3 linked regions of the Sus scrofa genome follow. The protein of the gene in region 3 interacts with the protein of the main gene of each other region in a pairwise test. Links are inferred from orthologs where the notes say so. Each region holds a gene or a part of one and is shown on either strand. Other genes may lie near its edges.

Evidence for each region. The genes of interacting proteins can lie anywhere in the genome.
Region 1: the proteins of GRAMD2B (region 3) and CD207 interact in binary tests that used the Homo sapiens proteins (3 or more experiments, as listed by UniProt). The two-hybrid records come from large-scale screens. The link is inferred for Sus scrofa from reciprocal best matches to the Homo sapiens genes GRAMD2B and CD207.
Region 2: the proteins of GRAMD2B (region 3) and TMEM43 interact in binary tests that used the Homo sapiens proteins (3 or more experiments, as listed by UniProt). The two-hybrid records come from large-scale screens. The link is inferred for Sus scrofa from reciprocal best matches to the Homo sapiens genes GRAMD2B and TMEM43.

The regions. Positions count from the first base shown.
Region 1 is NC_010445.4:71,666,856-71,671,083, forward strand, and holds the start of CD207 (C-type lectin domain family 4 member K), read left to right. Parts: upstream 1-1,377; 5' UTR 1,378-1,401; coding exon 1,402-1,477; intron 1,478-1,574; coding exon 1,575-1,691; intron 1,692-3,632; coding exon 3,633-4,007; intron 4,008-4,228. UniProt on the Homo sapiens protein: Calcium-dependent lectin displaying mannose-binding specificity. Induces the formation of Birbeck granules (BGs); is a potent regulator of membrane superimposition and zippering.
Region 2 is NC_010455.5:70,414,363-70,418,509, forward strand, and holds the start of TMEM43 (transmembrane protein 43), read right to left. Parts: upstream 2,852-4,147; 5' UTR 2,627-2,851; coding exon 2,615-2,626; intron 1-2,614. Other genes in the region: CHCHD4 (mitochondrial intermembrane space import and assembly protein 40), read left to right, coding at 3,136-3,157. UniProt on the Homo sapiens protein: May have an important role in maintaining nuclear envelope structure by organizing protein complexes at the inner nuclear membrane. Required for retaining emerin at the inner nuclear membrane.
Region 3 is NC_010444.4:129,509,811-129,513,872, reverse strand, and holds the start of GRAMD2B (GRAM domain-containing protein 3), read right to left. Parts: upstream 2,802-4,062; 5' UTR 2,656-2,801; coding exon 2,528-2,655; intron 1-2,527.

The DNA of each region.
Region 1 (4,228 bases), on a different chromosome or scaffold from region 3:
CTCTCTTCCCTCCTCTCTTTCCTACCTTCCAAGAAGAATTTGTTTAGAATCTGTTATATGCTAGGTTTCTCAGATTTTGCAGACTTCTTCAAAGTATGAGAAGAAGCCCAGGAGAAAACTCAATCCTTCGTTGAGCCCCAGATCAGCGCCTTTCTGTCTTGAGCCTCTCCCATGAATGGAAGAACAGCTCCTGGTCTGATGTTGCTGAGCTTCCCACTTTGAGAGACTCACGAGTTCGGAAAGCAGAGAGGAGTACTCAAACCTTAGATTTACATTTTGACTCTCCAAGCCCCATTTTATAAAGGGATATTGTATCATCTAAGATGCCTTAACGCAAAGTATTTTATTTGTGGTGGTCCCCTTACTGGGCTCCCTGCTTCCAGTCTCTCCACACCCCGATCTCTGCTCCCCACCATAATCAGAGAAATCTTTCTTCAAGTTCCTGTCCTTGTCTTTCTCCTGCCTGAAGTCCTTCACTGGCTCCACATCACCTATAAGCCAGAGGTCAAGCTCCTTAATACTACCCAAAGGATCTTTATGCTCTGACTCCAGGTGCCTCCTTAGCCCATGACCTCCTTATTCCTGTCATATAATTCATACTCCAGCAGCATCAAACTACTCACAATGCACCAGGCATTTAGGGCATCTTCTGCACCCATACTTTTGAATGTGCTGATCCCTCTACCTGGAACTCTTTGCCATTATGCCACTCTCTAAACTGTGCATGTTCTTTCATTGTTACACTCATCCCTGTATCATAATTTATTTGCTCAGATCTTTGAGTGCAAAGACTGGGAGTTGCCTCCGTGGCTCAGTGCCTGGTCTCTGGAAGGCGCTCGATATATATTTGTGGGATGAATGGCTGGCTGACTGATAGATGAGGCTCATCTTTTTTTTTTGGGGGGGGAATTCCTAGGCTAGGGGTCAAATTGAAGCTGTAGCTGCCAGCCTATGCCACAGCCACAGCAACGCGGGATCTGAGCTGCGTCTGCCACCTACACCACAGCTCATGGCAACGCCGGATCCTTAACCCACAGAGCGAGGCCAGGGATCGAACCTGCATCCTCAAGGCTATTAGTTGGATTTGTTACTGCTGAGCCCCGACAGGAACTCTGAGGGTCATCTTATAAGAGAAAAATCTTCTCCTGAGGACAGGATGTTAAGGTGTCCATGTAACAGGCCCCCAGAGATGATGACAAATGGCCTTTTCCTGAGAACTCAGACCTTGGAGGAGAAGATTGAGCTGTGGCTTAGGGCAGGCAAGGTGCCTAAACTAGGAATGGGGAACTTTGAGATGACACAATGACCTCTGGTGGGACTCACTTCCCTTTTCCTCTGGATAAAAGTCCTTGGGGAGACAGCCAGCTGGGAGCACCTGTGCCTTGAGTTGGAGCGTGCAGGATGAAGGCTGTGGAGAGCGAGGTCCATGATGCGCACTTCACTGTAGACAAACAGAACATCTCCCTATGGCCCCGAGGCAAGCAGCAGCTACCATACCGAGCCTGCCCAGGGCGCTGCACCCAAACCCAATCTTTGCTGGTCCTGCAACAAACCTTCTCTTCTTCTTCCTGCAGAGCCTCCTCCCAAGACGGGTCCGTATCTGGTTCTGGGGCGGTGTCTCACAGTCCGAGCTGCCGTGGTCTTGCTGACGCTGGTCCTGGTCGCCTCCATCCTGCTGCAGGCCATTCTCTGTAAGTCCTCAGCCCTGAATGCCCTCGGCCCTTCCCCTCGGCCAGCCGGCTCCCTCGACATCCAGACCCTCTCTCCCCTGCTCGCTGGTGCCCCTCCCCAATGGCTTTCTCATTTGTCTTATTCGCCCTCTTGTCACGTGCAGTCAGAGAGTCCCCCATTCCCAGTAAGATCAGCTGCTGCTCCTTCCTCTGCAATTCCAGGGAGGTTTTCCTGACTGGGATCAGCACGCTCGGGCTCAAGGATATGCTGTTTTGACCCCAGGAAATGTTCACCCATCTTCATCCCCTGTCATTTTCTCCTCCCTCTCTGAGCTCTGTGTCCCTTCCATTCAGAGGTTTAGGGACAGACTCAAAAGTGAGCAAAACGTTTACTGACCCCACAAGGGATGGAGTCCTCACTGTATCATCAGCCCCACCTGAACCTGGCCGACAGGACAATACATCTCCCTGGTTTGCCCCCTCATCAGGACCCTGTTGCGCTCTCTCCATTCTCCCATTCCCAAGAAGGTCGTTCAAGGGAGACCTCCTGCTCTTCATTGGCTGTGTGACTTATTTTCCTCTCTGGCTTTGCTAAGCTCCATGGCCTCTGCTGCTTGTAGAAGCTTCTTCCTCACCCTGGGTCTCCAGAGGGAGGGAGTGTTTGTCTTCTCCCTTCTAGGTCCCAGGGCACATTTGGTCTTGAACTTGGAGGTTTTTTTTTGTTTGTTTGTTTTTGTCTTTTTGCCATTTCTTGGGCCGCTCCCGCGGCATATAGAGGTTCCCAGGCTAGGGGTCTAATTGGAGCTGCAGCTGCCAGCCTACGCCAGAGCCACAGCAACACGGGATCCCAGCCGCGTCTGCGACCTACACCACAGCTCACGGCAACGCCGGATCCTTAACCCACTGAGCAAGGGCAGGGACTGAACCCGAAACCTCATGGTTCCTAGTTGGATTCGTTAACCACTACGCCACGACTGGAACTCCCGACCTCCTCTTTTTTTTTTTTTTTTTTCAAGGGCTGCACCTGCAGCACATGGAAGTTCCCAGGCTAGGGGTCAAATTGGAGCTGCAGCTGCTGGCCTATGCCACAGCCACAACAACCCCAGATCTGAGCCGTGTCTGTGAACTACACCACAGCTCATGGCAATGCCAAATCCTTAACCCACTGAGGGGGGCCAGGGATTGAACCCAAATCCTCATGGATACTAGTTGGGTTTGTTTCTGCTGAGCCACAATGGGAACTCTGGACTTGGAGGTTCTGAGCAGAGTCTGCTCTGCTTCAAGCCCACTTGGTTTACTTTTGGTTTCCTCTATGACACCTGAGCCTGTGACCTGAGCAGAGTGTGACAGGGACTGGGATCAGGGAGAAATGATTTCTTAACTCTCCCTCTTTGGAGAAGTCACTTCCACATGAGAAGTCTCCATGGCTGGTCCTCCCATGGCCATGTGGGACCTGTGGGCAGTCATGGGAGGGGTGGTGCTACCCTAGCTGATGGCTGATGCAGGGTCTCTGAAAGGGGCAGACTGGGAATCAAGGGATGGTTCCCAGAGTGATGTGGGAAGGGTGACAAGGGGGCGATTAATGGCATCCTTTTACCAAATGTGCCTTAAAAACTCAAAGCAAATTTAGAAGACAATCAAATTCCCACTTCTGCCTACCTGTGAGGCCCTTTACCAGAGCGCCCGTGATTTCTTAATTATTTAATAATAATAAATTTATTATTTATTAACTGCAGTATCTGCATCCCCCAGAATTCCTGGCACATGGAAGGTGCCCATCGCATGTTTGTTGAGTGAATAAATTATGAATGAATGGAGGGTAGGCAACCACTCCTTGGGTTGGGTCCTTGGGAAACTTGGGCCTGTCACTTCCCTTCCTTCCCTTTTCTCACCCTGGCAACCCCCTCTCCAGTCCCTGGGGATCCCCTTGGCTGACCGACCTCCTGACTTTCTCAAATCCAGATCCTTGGTTTATGGGCACAATGTCAGATGTCAAGACCAGTGCCCAGTTGCTGCAAGGTCGTGTGGACAACATCAGCACCCTGAGTTCCGAAATCAAGAGGAACAGCGGTGGTGTGGAGGCGGCTGGCGTTCAGGTCCGGATGGTGAATGCCAGCCTGGATCATGTGCGTTCTCAGATCCAGAGGTTGGAAATCAGTGTGAAGGAAGCTGATGCACGGCTGCAGAAGCTAACAAGTAGTTGGGAAGAAGTCGATAAGTTAAATGCCCAAATCCCAGAGTTAAAAAGAGATTTGGATAAAGCCAGTGCTTTAAATGCAAAGGTCTGGGACCTCCAGAGTGGCTTGGGAAATATCAGCAAGATGCTCAAACAGCAAAGTAAGTGACTCAGAAAGGACCGCTCCAAGCTGACCAGTTGGACCTGGCTGGTCTCAGGCATAAAGCCACTGGGATGGTGTGTGGAGGGAGGGGGAGGGCAACAGAGTAGACGTGGCTGGAAAGTTAAGAAGAGAGGACTCAGTGTTGGGGTTGGGGAGGACGTAGGGGCTGTTCAGGAGAGAAGGAACCAGGGGCCAGCCTGGGCTCCCACACCAAGGCAC
Region 2 (4,147 bases), on a different chromosome or scaffold from region 3:
CTTAGGGCACAGTGAGTCACGTGCGGCACGGGCTGGTGGAATGTCATCAGCTTTCTCCATCACTGGTACCAAGGCTGGGCTGAGCTGACAAAAACGACAAAGATGTAAGTGGTTCCCAGATGAGCAATGAGAACGAGCTAGCCCATCCTGGCACTGGGGGTGGGGCAGGATGAGATTCAAGTTAGTCTCCATTTGAACAAAGCTGATGCCGTGTTCTTTGACTGTCTCTGAATGCCACCAGCCCAGGCCTGCTAGGCACCACTTGTCCTGTGTTCAGAAATGGTCTTGACCTTCCAGGCCATTTGGAAACATTAGTGGAGCAATTTGCTGCAGGCAGGAGGGGACCATCAACCATCATAACGATGACAATGGCAAACACTCCAGTCTATCACATGGACAAGCCCAAGGAGAGGGTGCTATCACGACCCCATTGCACAGATGAGAAAACAAACTGAGGCTCAGCAGTTACATCACCAGGCGAGATCACACAGCCTCTAAGAAGTGGACTTAGGATTCACACCTGGGCAGGCTGGAGGCCACTTTCCTGTTACCCTGCTCTGGACTGCATTCCTAACTTCTCGGGTCATAACAGGAGTTGAACACTAGGAGCCGGCTGCAGGCAGCACAGGATAGCAAAAGAAATCAGCCCCATTACCACCTGTGCAACCCCACCTTGGGGGTGGGAAGACCTAGCTTCTTCCTGGGCCTCCCCTCAGCACATACCTAGGAGCTGACTTCAAGATAAGGGGCTCGAAGATGGCTGTAAAGGAAAGGAAGAAAGTGCCCCTCAGGCTGGGAGCAGCATGGCATGCCCAGCTCACACTCTGAACCAAATTCCCAGCAAATGTGGATGGTCATGGAGATTTCCTCCCTGCCTGCTCCCCACTCACTACTCCAGGATCAGAAGCAATGAGCAGTGAGCTGTGGGAAGAGCTCTGCATCTGGGCCCTGAAAATCACCCGCTGTGTACCCCTGGGTAAGCTGCTCCACCTCTCTGCTCTGGTTTGCTCATTTGGAATGGAGATGGTAACCGTATCAACGGACGGCTGTTTCAGTGAAGAAGAATTCTGCTGCCTCCCTGCTCCACCCCACCATCTTCCTTCTTCCTCACATGGCTTGATGCCCCCAAATGTGGACCGCATTGCTGGGTGAATCAACAAAGACTTGGCAGCAGAGGATACCCACATTCATTTACATTCCTTGACAAAGGTCAGGATACCAACATACCCAAGATGGTCTCTGTCCACTAGGACTGTGCGGATAAACTCTACTTTTTTTTTTTTTTTTTAATGTATTAAGTACGAACCTATAGTGCATTAAGTGTGTTAAGCATGGTTTTCCTTTAAATTTCAGGTTAACTGATCCTATGAGGAAACATAAACCTCAAGAGATTAAGACCACTTGTCAGCCCGACTCCAAAGCCTGCTACGCTCACCCAAGATGTAGCCTGCCAGGCTGGCTCTGCAACCCTGGGCAGGGCCTTTCTCTGCTGGGAAAGTTCCCTATCTGTAAAGTGGTCATTATGGAGGGGGGGCTGGCGGTCTCCTGACTGCGCTCTGCCGAGGGAAGACCCTGGGTCTCCCGGACCACCTCTGAGGCTTTTCTAGGTGCTTTTTCAAAGGCTTCTTGGCCTCCCAGACAATGCAAACTCAGGCAAAGTGTGCTGGGGCTGTGGGTGAGGCAAACCCTGGCTTCTCAGGGGGTGTGGAAGGCAGAGAGGACCTTGGGGACAGAGGAAGGGCCTGTTAAGAGGGTGTGAAAGGCCAAGAGAGAGAGTGGTTAGGACATGCCACCAAAGCAGGAGGGAGGGAGTGCCTCAGCTGGCTGGGCTCCGAGCTGGCACCAGAGGCACTTTTGCAGAAGACAGGAACATGAGTCACCAGCTTCTCCCACACCCAGCACCCTGTTGGCAGGTGCCCCTCGGTTTGTTGAATGAATGTGGGGCTTAAATAGAAAGGTTCCTCAGAAAAGCAGGGAGAAAAGCAGCTGCCTTTCCAAGGGCACCGCCCTCAGCCAGGGCCTTTCCAACCAAGCCAAAGCCAGGAAGACGAGGGGCCAGCAGTAGGGAAATGCTCCCTCTCCCAGTCATGCTAACTCCTCTGCTCCAAACTAGTCTGCCCCTCTGCACAACATCAGAGCCTTGGTTTACATACTCCCTGGAGCGGGGACCTCAGTGCCTGCTAGGACAGTGCGTTTCTGGACAGCTTCACCAGGGCGATATCTGCCTCCCCACACACCCCATGGGGGACTCCTGTCTGAAGTCCCGTCCAACTCTCAAGTCCGCAAATGTGAGAATCCCAAAGGCGCAGGCGGGAACCGAGAAGGAAAGAAGGAGCTGCGCGGAGGCGCCGCACATAAGCGGACCCGGAGACAGAGCCACACCTCCAGAGGTTGCGTCTCTACCACCACGCGCCCCCGAGGAGGACGTGGACCACCGGGTGCTGACCGCACGTACGGACGACCTGGCTGCCCTGCCGGAAGGAGCGGACCCGGGAGCGAGAGGGAGGAAGGGCCGGCTGCACGGAGGCGGTTAGCCGCACAAGGGGCTACGGCGGGCGGCCGGGAGAGTGGACGAGGCAGCCTGGGTGTGGCCGGCGAAGCCGGGGACACTCACGTTCGCAGCCATGGCAGGATCCGGTCACCGCCCGCCTCACTCGGCTCAGCAAGAAAACGGACTTACGGCTGCACCACGGAATCCCGCCACCTCTCGACAGCCAGATGGCGGCCAAAAGGCGCGGGAAGCCCGGAGCCCTAGGATGCGCTACAGAGCAACGCCCCGCAAGCCGCGGTTTTTCTGCTCTCGCCCGCCGCGCCTCCTCCTGGGAAACGTAGTCTGGTGCCCTCTCCGGAAGTTGCAACCTACCCGGTACCTCACTGGTGCACCTGCGCATTGCAGGTCATTCTGGGAATTGCAGTTCCTTCTGTCTAGGGAGTTGCTCGGCGGCGCGCGGCCTGCTGGGAAATGTAGTTCCCGGTTGAGAAGGCCGGGCTAGGAGCTCCGAGGCAGGCGCGCGGAGGGCAGGCCTGGAGGGGGCGGGTCCGCACGGGCCTCCCAGCCGCCCGCCTCGCCGGGGAGAGGTCACGGCGTGAGGCAGCCACCGCGATCACCGCGAGGTTGGAGCGCCGGGCTGCACTATGGCCTACTGCCGGCAGGAAGGTAGGAGGGCGGGGTACCTAGAGACGGCCTACGAGGGCCTGCAGGGAACAGGCGGATTGTGCGGCCCCCGCGCCCCACCACTGGTGCGGAAGATAGTCCTCGGACCCTTGCGTCGGGTCTCCATCCCCGCTTTACAGATGGGCAGCGGGGAGAAGCGAGGCGGTCCAAGGTCACCGTGAGGCTCGAACCCGGACGTCTGAGGGACCACCACGTGAGAGAGCTCTTAAATTAGGCCTGGGGGTCGGAGGAGTGCGAGCGCGCTGCCGCTGGCTCCTAACGGAGAGTTTATAGGTATTAATTGTTACTATGGCGCTTACCCACACCACGTGTTCCGGTTTGCGCCGCCCGTCAACAGTCCTGGAAAGTCGCCCTCGGCGTGCTCTGTGCTGCGGCGTGGAGTACCGCCCGAGGGGACCGGTCAGGCGCTGGTGCGCCCTAAGCCAGGCCCTGTTCATTTCCCGAGAGTAAACAGCGACCCAGAGGTGACTAGGCTAATGCCATGATGCCGGCAAGTCCGGAAGCTGGGGTTGGACCCCCGCGGTCTGATTCCAGAGCTGCCCAGCCTGGTGACCAGTGGATTCCAGGGAGCCTTCCGTTGGGAAGACAACCCCCCAAAAAAACAAAACTAAATAGGTTTCTGTCTATGGTCTCTCTCCTTGTTACCTCTCCTGGAACCCCAGAAGTCTCCAGGCCAGGGGTTCGAGGGCCTCCGCGCACAACCGCTAACTGGCTCTTTGTCCCTGAGCTGTCACCCAGCCCCTCCAAGGCCCAGTGTTCAGTCTTGTAAAATGAGAAGTAGGCCTTCCTTCCTTCTCCACATATTCATGAAGCACCTTTTTAGTGCCAGGTGAGGGTGATGGTGAACACCTGAGACTTTAAAGCTCCAGAGAGAGCTGGAACTCTCCCTGAAATTCTTTAATGAATAGTCTAGCTCCCTCAGGTCATTGAGGGACCCTTAAGCCCAGAGATGGAGGTGATCTACCCAAGGTC
Region 3 (4,062 bases):
GAAGTGTTTATCTTTTTATTTGTTCTTTTTAAAATTGTAGTATAGTCGATTTACAATGTTGTGTTAGTATCAGGGGTACAGAAAAGTGATTCAAATATATATACGTTTATATATATGAGTATATATATTCTTTTCCAGATTCTTTTCTCCTATAGGTTATTACAAGGTATGGAATATAGTTCCTTAGGCTTTACAGTAGGTCCTTGTTGGTTTCTATCTTATTTTTGACCTCAAATCATTAGCCAACACGTGCCTGAGAGCTTTAACAATTAATTAATTGATTAATTAATTAATGCTTTTTAGGGCTGCACCCAGAGCATATAGAAGTTCCCAGACTAGGGGGCTAATCGGAACTGCAGTTGCCGGCCTACACCACAGCTACAGCAATTCAGGATCGGAGCTGCATCTGCGACCTACAACCACAGCTCAGGGCAACACCAGATTTCCAACCCACTCGCATCCTCATGGATACTAGTTGGATTCTTTTCCGCCGCACCACAACAGAAACTCCTGACAAATTATTTTCAACGATTTTTACATACAGTATCTACTGTCAAACTGTTTGGAAGTACATGTAATGTTTTAGATTGGGTTTAATACACATTTAAAAATTGTAAAGACATTTAGAAATATATCAAATATGCAGGTGGAAGAGGCCTGGGCTCTTTTTAAAGAGGGTTCTTGAATTTGCGTTGATATAGGTTTTTATTTTATTTTTATTCCATTTATTTACCTGTACTTATTTAAATCATATGTATAATATTTATTTAAATTATACTTTGTATACTTTATCATTTTAAAAGTATTTTTATGTATTTTAATTTAATAGTATTTTTCCTGGTTAGAACTTAAGCTCTAAGAAGAGTCTGCATTACAGTCAACATAAGAAAAGGATGAAGGAGATGAACTGATTTAAGAAACACCCAAACTTCAGCAAAATATGGAAATAATGCAAGAGTTTTACATTTCAATCATAGGAATTGTGCTCTTGCTCAACCGACCACAACGTAAGTTAGGTAGAGTCATTTTAATGAGGGATGGAAACATTAGGCCAACGTTAGATAGATTTACTAAGAAACATTTTTCATAGATTCAGACTCTTGGTCCCTAACACCTCTTTAAAAAAATTATCGACTATTGAATTTATTTTCCTCACCGGACAGTTTGATAGGTGACATCTATTAAATGCAGTGAGATTTCTTAGTTTTCTACTTGATTTTAAAAAGCTATAATGTTGAGCACTTTTTTGCAGAAATGATTAAAAATAAATGATCGACTTTCTAACATGGTACTATGTTAAAGCGAAGTTTCAGCGTGGAGGTTATTCATCCGGCTTGACTTGGTAAGTTTACGTGAAAGTGACATCAAAGTTTACAACATTAGAAAAGCAAATTTTTGTTGTTTAGACCTTGACAATATAGAAAGAAATATAATGTTGTAAACACAAAACTTATGTAATGTCATCACCTAAAGTTCTTTCATTAGAAAAAAAGTTTGCAGCAAAGTGAAAGTAAAATCTATAAAAGTTTGAATCATTATGTTATATATCTGAAACTAATATTGTAAATCAACTATACCTCAATTTAAAAAACAAAGCTGGATGAGGAAGTTTTTCTTGTTATTTATTTCCACTTGCAGTTGATTTTTGTATTGTACAAGTTGCCATAGAATTATTAAGAGACAAAATGAAGAATACCTAAGTGAATTTTCATTAGAAATATGTAATTATCAGAGTGGTGATGATGTGGATATTAATATTTACAGCCAAAAAAAGACATGTTCTGAATCTAGTCAAAGCTGCTACAAATCACTTACAGCAAGTAGTTGAACGAGAGCACAGCTAATACTATTTTAATATTTAATTTAGAAAGCTCAAAAGAGGGAGATTATTTTAATATTTTTAATACATTACTATTTCGATAGGAATACAGTAATTGTCCATCCAAGTGAGGTTTTTAGTTTAACTATTTTTTAAATTGTTTTTTAAATTATAGTTGATTTGCAGTGTTGTGGCAATTTCTGCTGTATAGAAAAGTGACTCAGATATATATGTAGATATATATATATATATGTTCTTTTTAATATTATTTTCCTTCATGATGTATCCCAGGAGACTGGATAGAGTTCCCTGTGCTATACAGTAGGACCTTACTGTTTATCCTTTGTAAATGTAATAATATGCATCTACTCACCCCAGACTCCTAGTCCACCCCTCTCCCTACCCCTTCCCTAGTTTAACTCTTTGACTTCACTGTCTGTGAACCTGAGAGTGGGTAAGGCATTGAGTAACGACATAGCCGGCCAGGTTTCCAGGACTAAAAAGTACTAAAGAAGGCACTAACAACTTTTATCCCTTCATGGTGGTGAAGAGTTCTATTTGCTCAGCACATCACATCCTTTGCTGTGAATCTCCTTGAAACCCACCCGCCCATGCGCCTGGTTGTGCCTTCTCTTTCTCCTTGGTCAAATCCTCCGGAGGAAGGAACTCTCCAAGCAACACCTGCAGAGGCAGGTGGGATGTACTCACCTGAGAAACACCGAGCCGGGGCTGTCAGGGGCGCTGTGCGGGGCCTCGGTGCCCACCTTGCTCGGGCCGCCCGGAACCTCAGACCTCCACGTCGTGTCGCTGGATGACGACAGCCTCTTTTTCACCATTGTGCCCTTGTCAATCGCTACGCCGAGAAATAAACTCAAGGGCTCATTTCTCCTCCTCCCCAGTAACGTGAAAGTCTCTGCCTTTCAGCCTTGCTCAATTCTCACATTGCAGGAAGCTCTTTCTTCACATGACTCCTAATCTAGCTGAGGCGATTTTTTCTGAAGTCAGTTAATGAGTAACATGTAAGTATGACACAGAGTGGTTTTCATCCTACTCACATTTGCTCCAAAGGAAAAATAAACGTGTTTGGGAAAAACAGCTTTCGGTTTACTAACATGAACACCATATGACTCTGAATTTAGGCAGAAAAGTCTATGGAAAAGTAAAAGACTTCAAACAACAAGGTGCAGAGACTAGCAGCATCTAAACATAGAAAGCTGGGATGCTTTCTTTAACTCCCAGAGCCTGATCAGCAGGGCAAGGAATGTGGATGTGCTTTATGCCTTTACACACACAGAAACTAACCAGCCCACGTTTGGTAAAACACACAGAAGCCTTAAGGCTGCGCTGCTTGGTCCTTAGAAGTTGAAGAGTTCTGGGGTTCTCATGGAAGCCAGGTGTACAAGTTAGGGGAACCTCACTATTCAGGTTGTGTATTTTGCTGGTTACAGGAGGTTGTGCCTTGTACCAAAAAGGTGATGCAACAAAGACAAATAAAAAAACACTAGGCACAGCCACATGGATGGACCTAGAGATTATCCTACGAAGTGAAATACATCAGACAGAGAAAGACAAATATCATACGATATCAATTATACGTGGAGTGGAGTAAAATGATACCAAGAACTTATTTATAAAACAGAAACAAACTCAGAGATTTCAAAACCAATCTTATGGTTACCACAGAGGAAACCATTGAGGGAAGGGAGCAGTTGGGATGGTAGGAATAACATATACACACGACTGTATAAAATAGATGATTAACAACAATGTACTGCAGAGCACAGGAAAATCTACTCAATTGTTTATGACATCCTATATGGGAAAAAAATGGATATATTTATATGTACGACTGGTTCGCTTTGCTGTACACCTGAAACTAACACAACGTTGTAAGTCAACCATGCTCCAATTAAAAAACAAAAAACCTAGGAAGCAAGGGTTTGGGCTCCATCCTTTGCTTTTGGCTGCATAACCACAGGTGATGCCAGTCCTGGTGAGTGTGGTGTTAGCCTCGCATTTCTTCCAAGACTAGGATGAAATCACATAGGAGAATATTCTCTGTATTATCATTATAGTTATGAGGAACCCTAATAAAAGCAAGAGGGGAAGTGAATTTCCTTTGCGACGATCTTTAATCACTGACTGTTTATGCACAAGAAAAACATCAGTTTTTCACCAGTGTTACTAGTGGCAGGGAAGGATTTGGTCCAGTGTAGCTCTGTACTCTCTCTGCGATTCCCCCT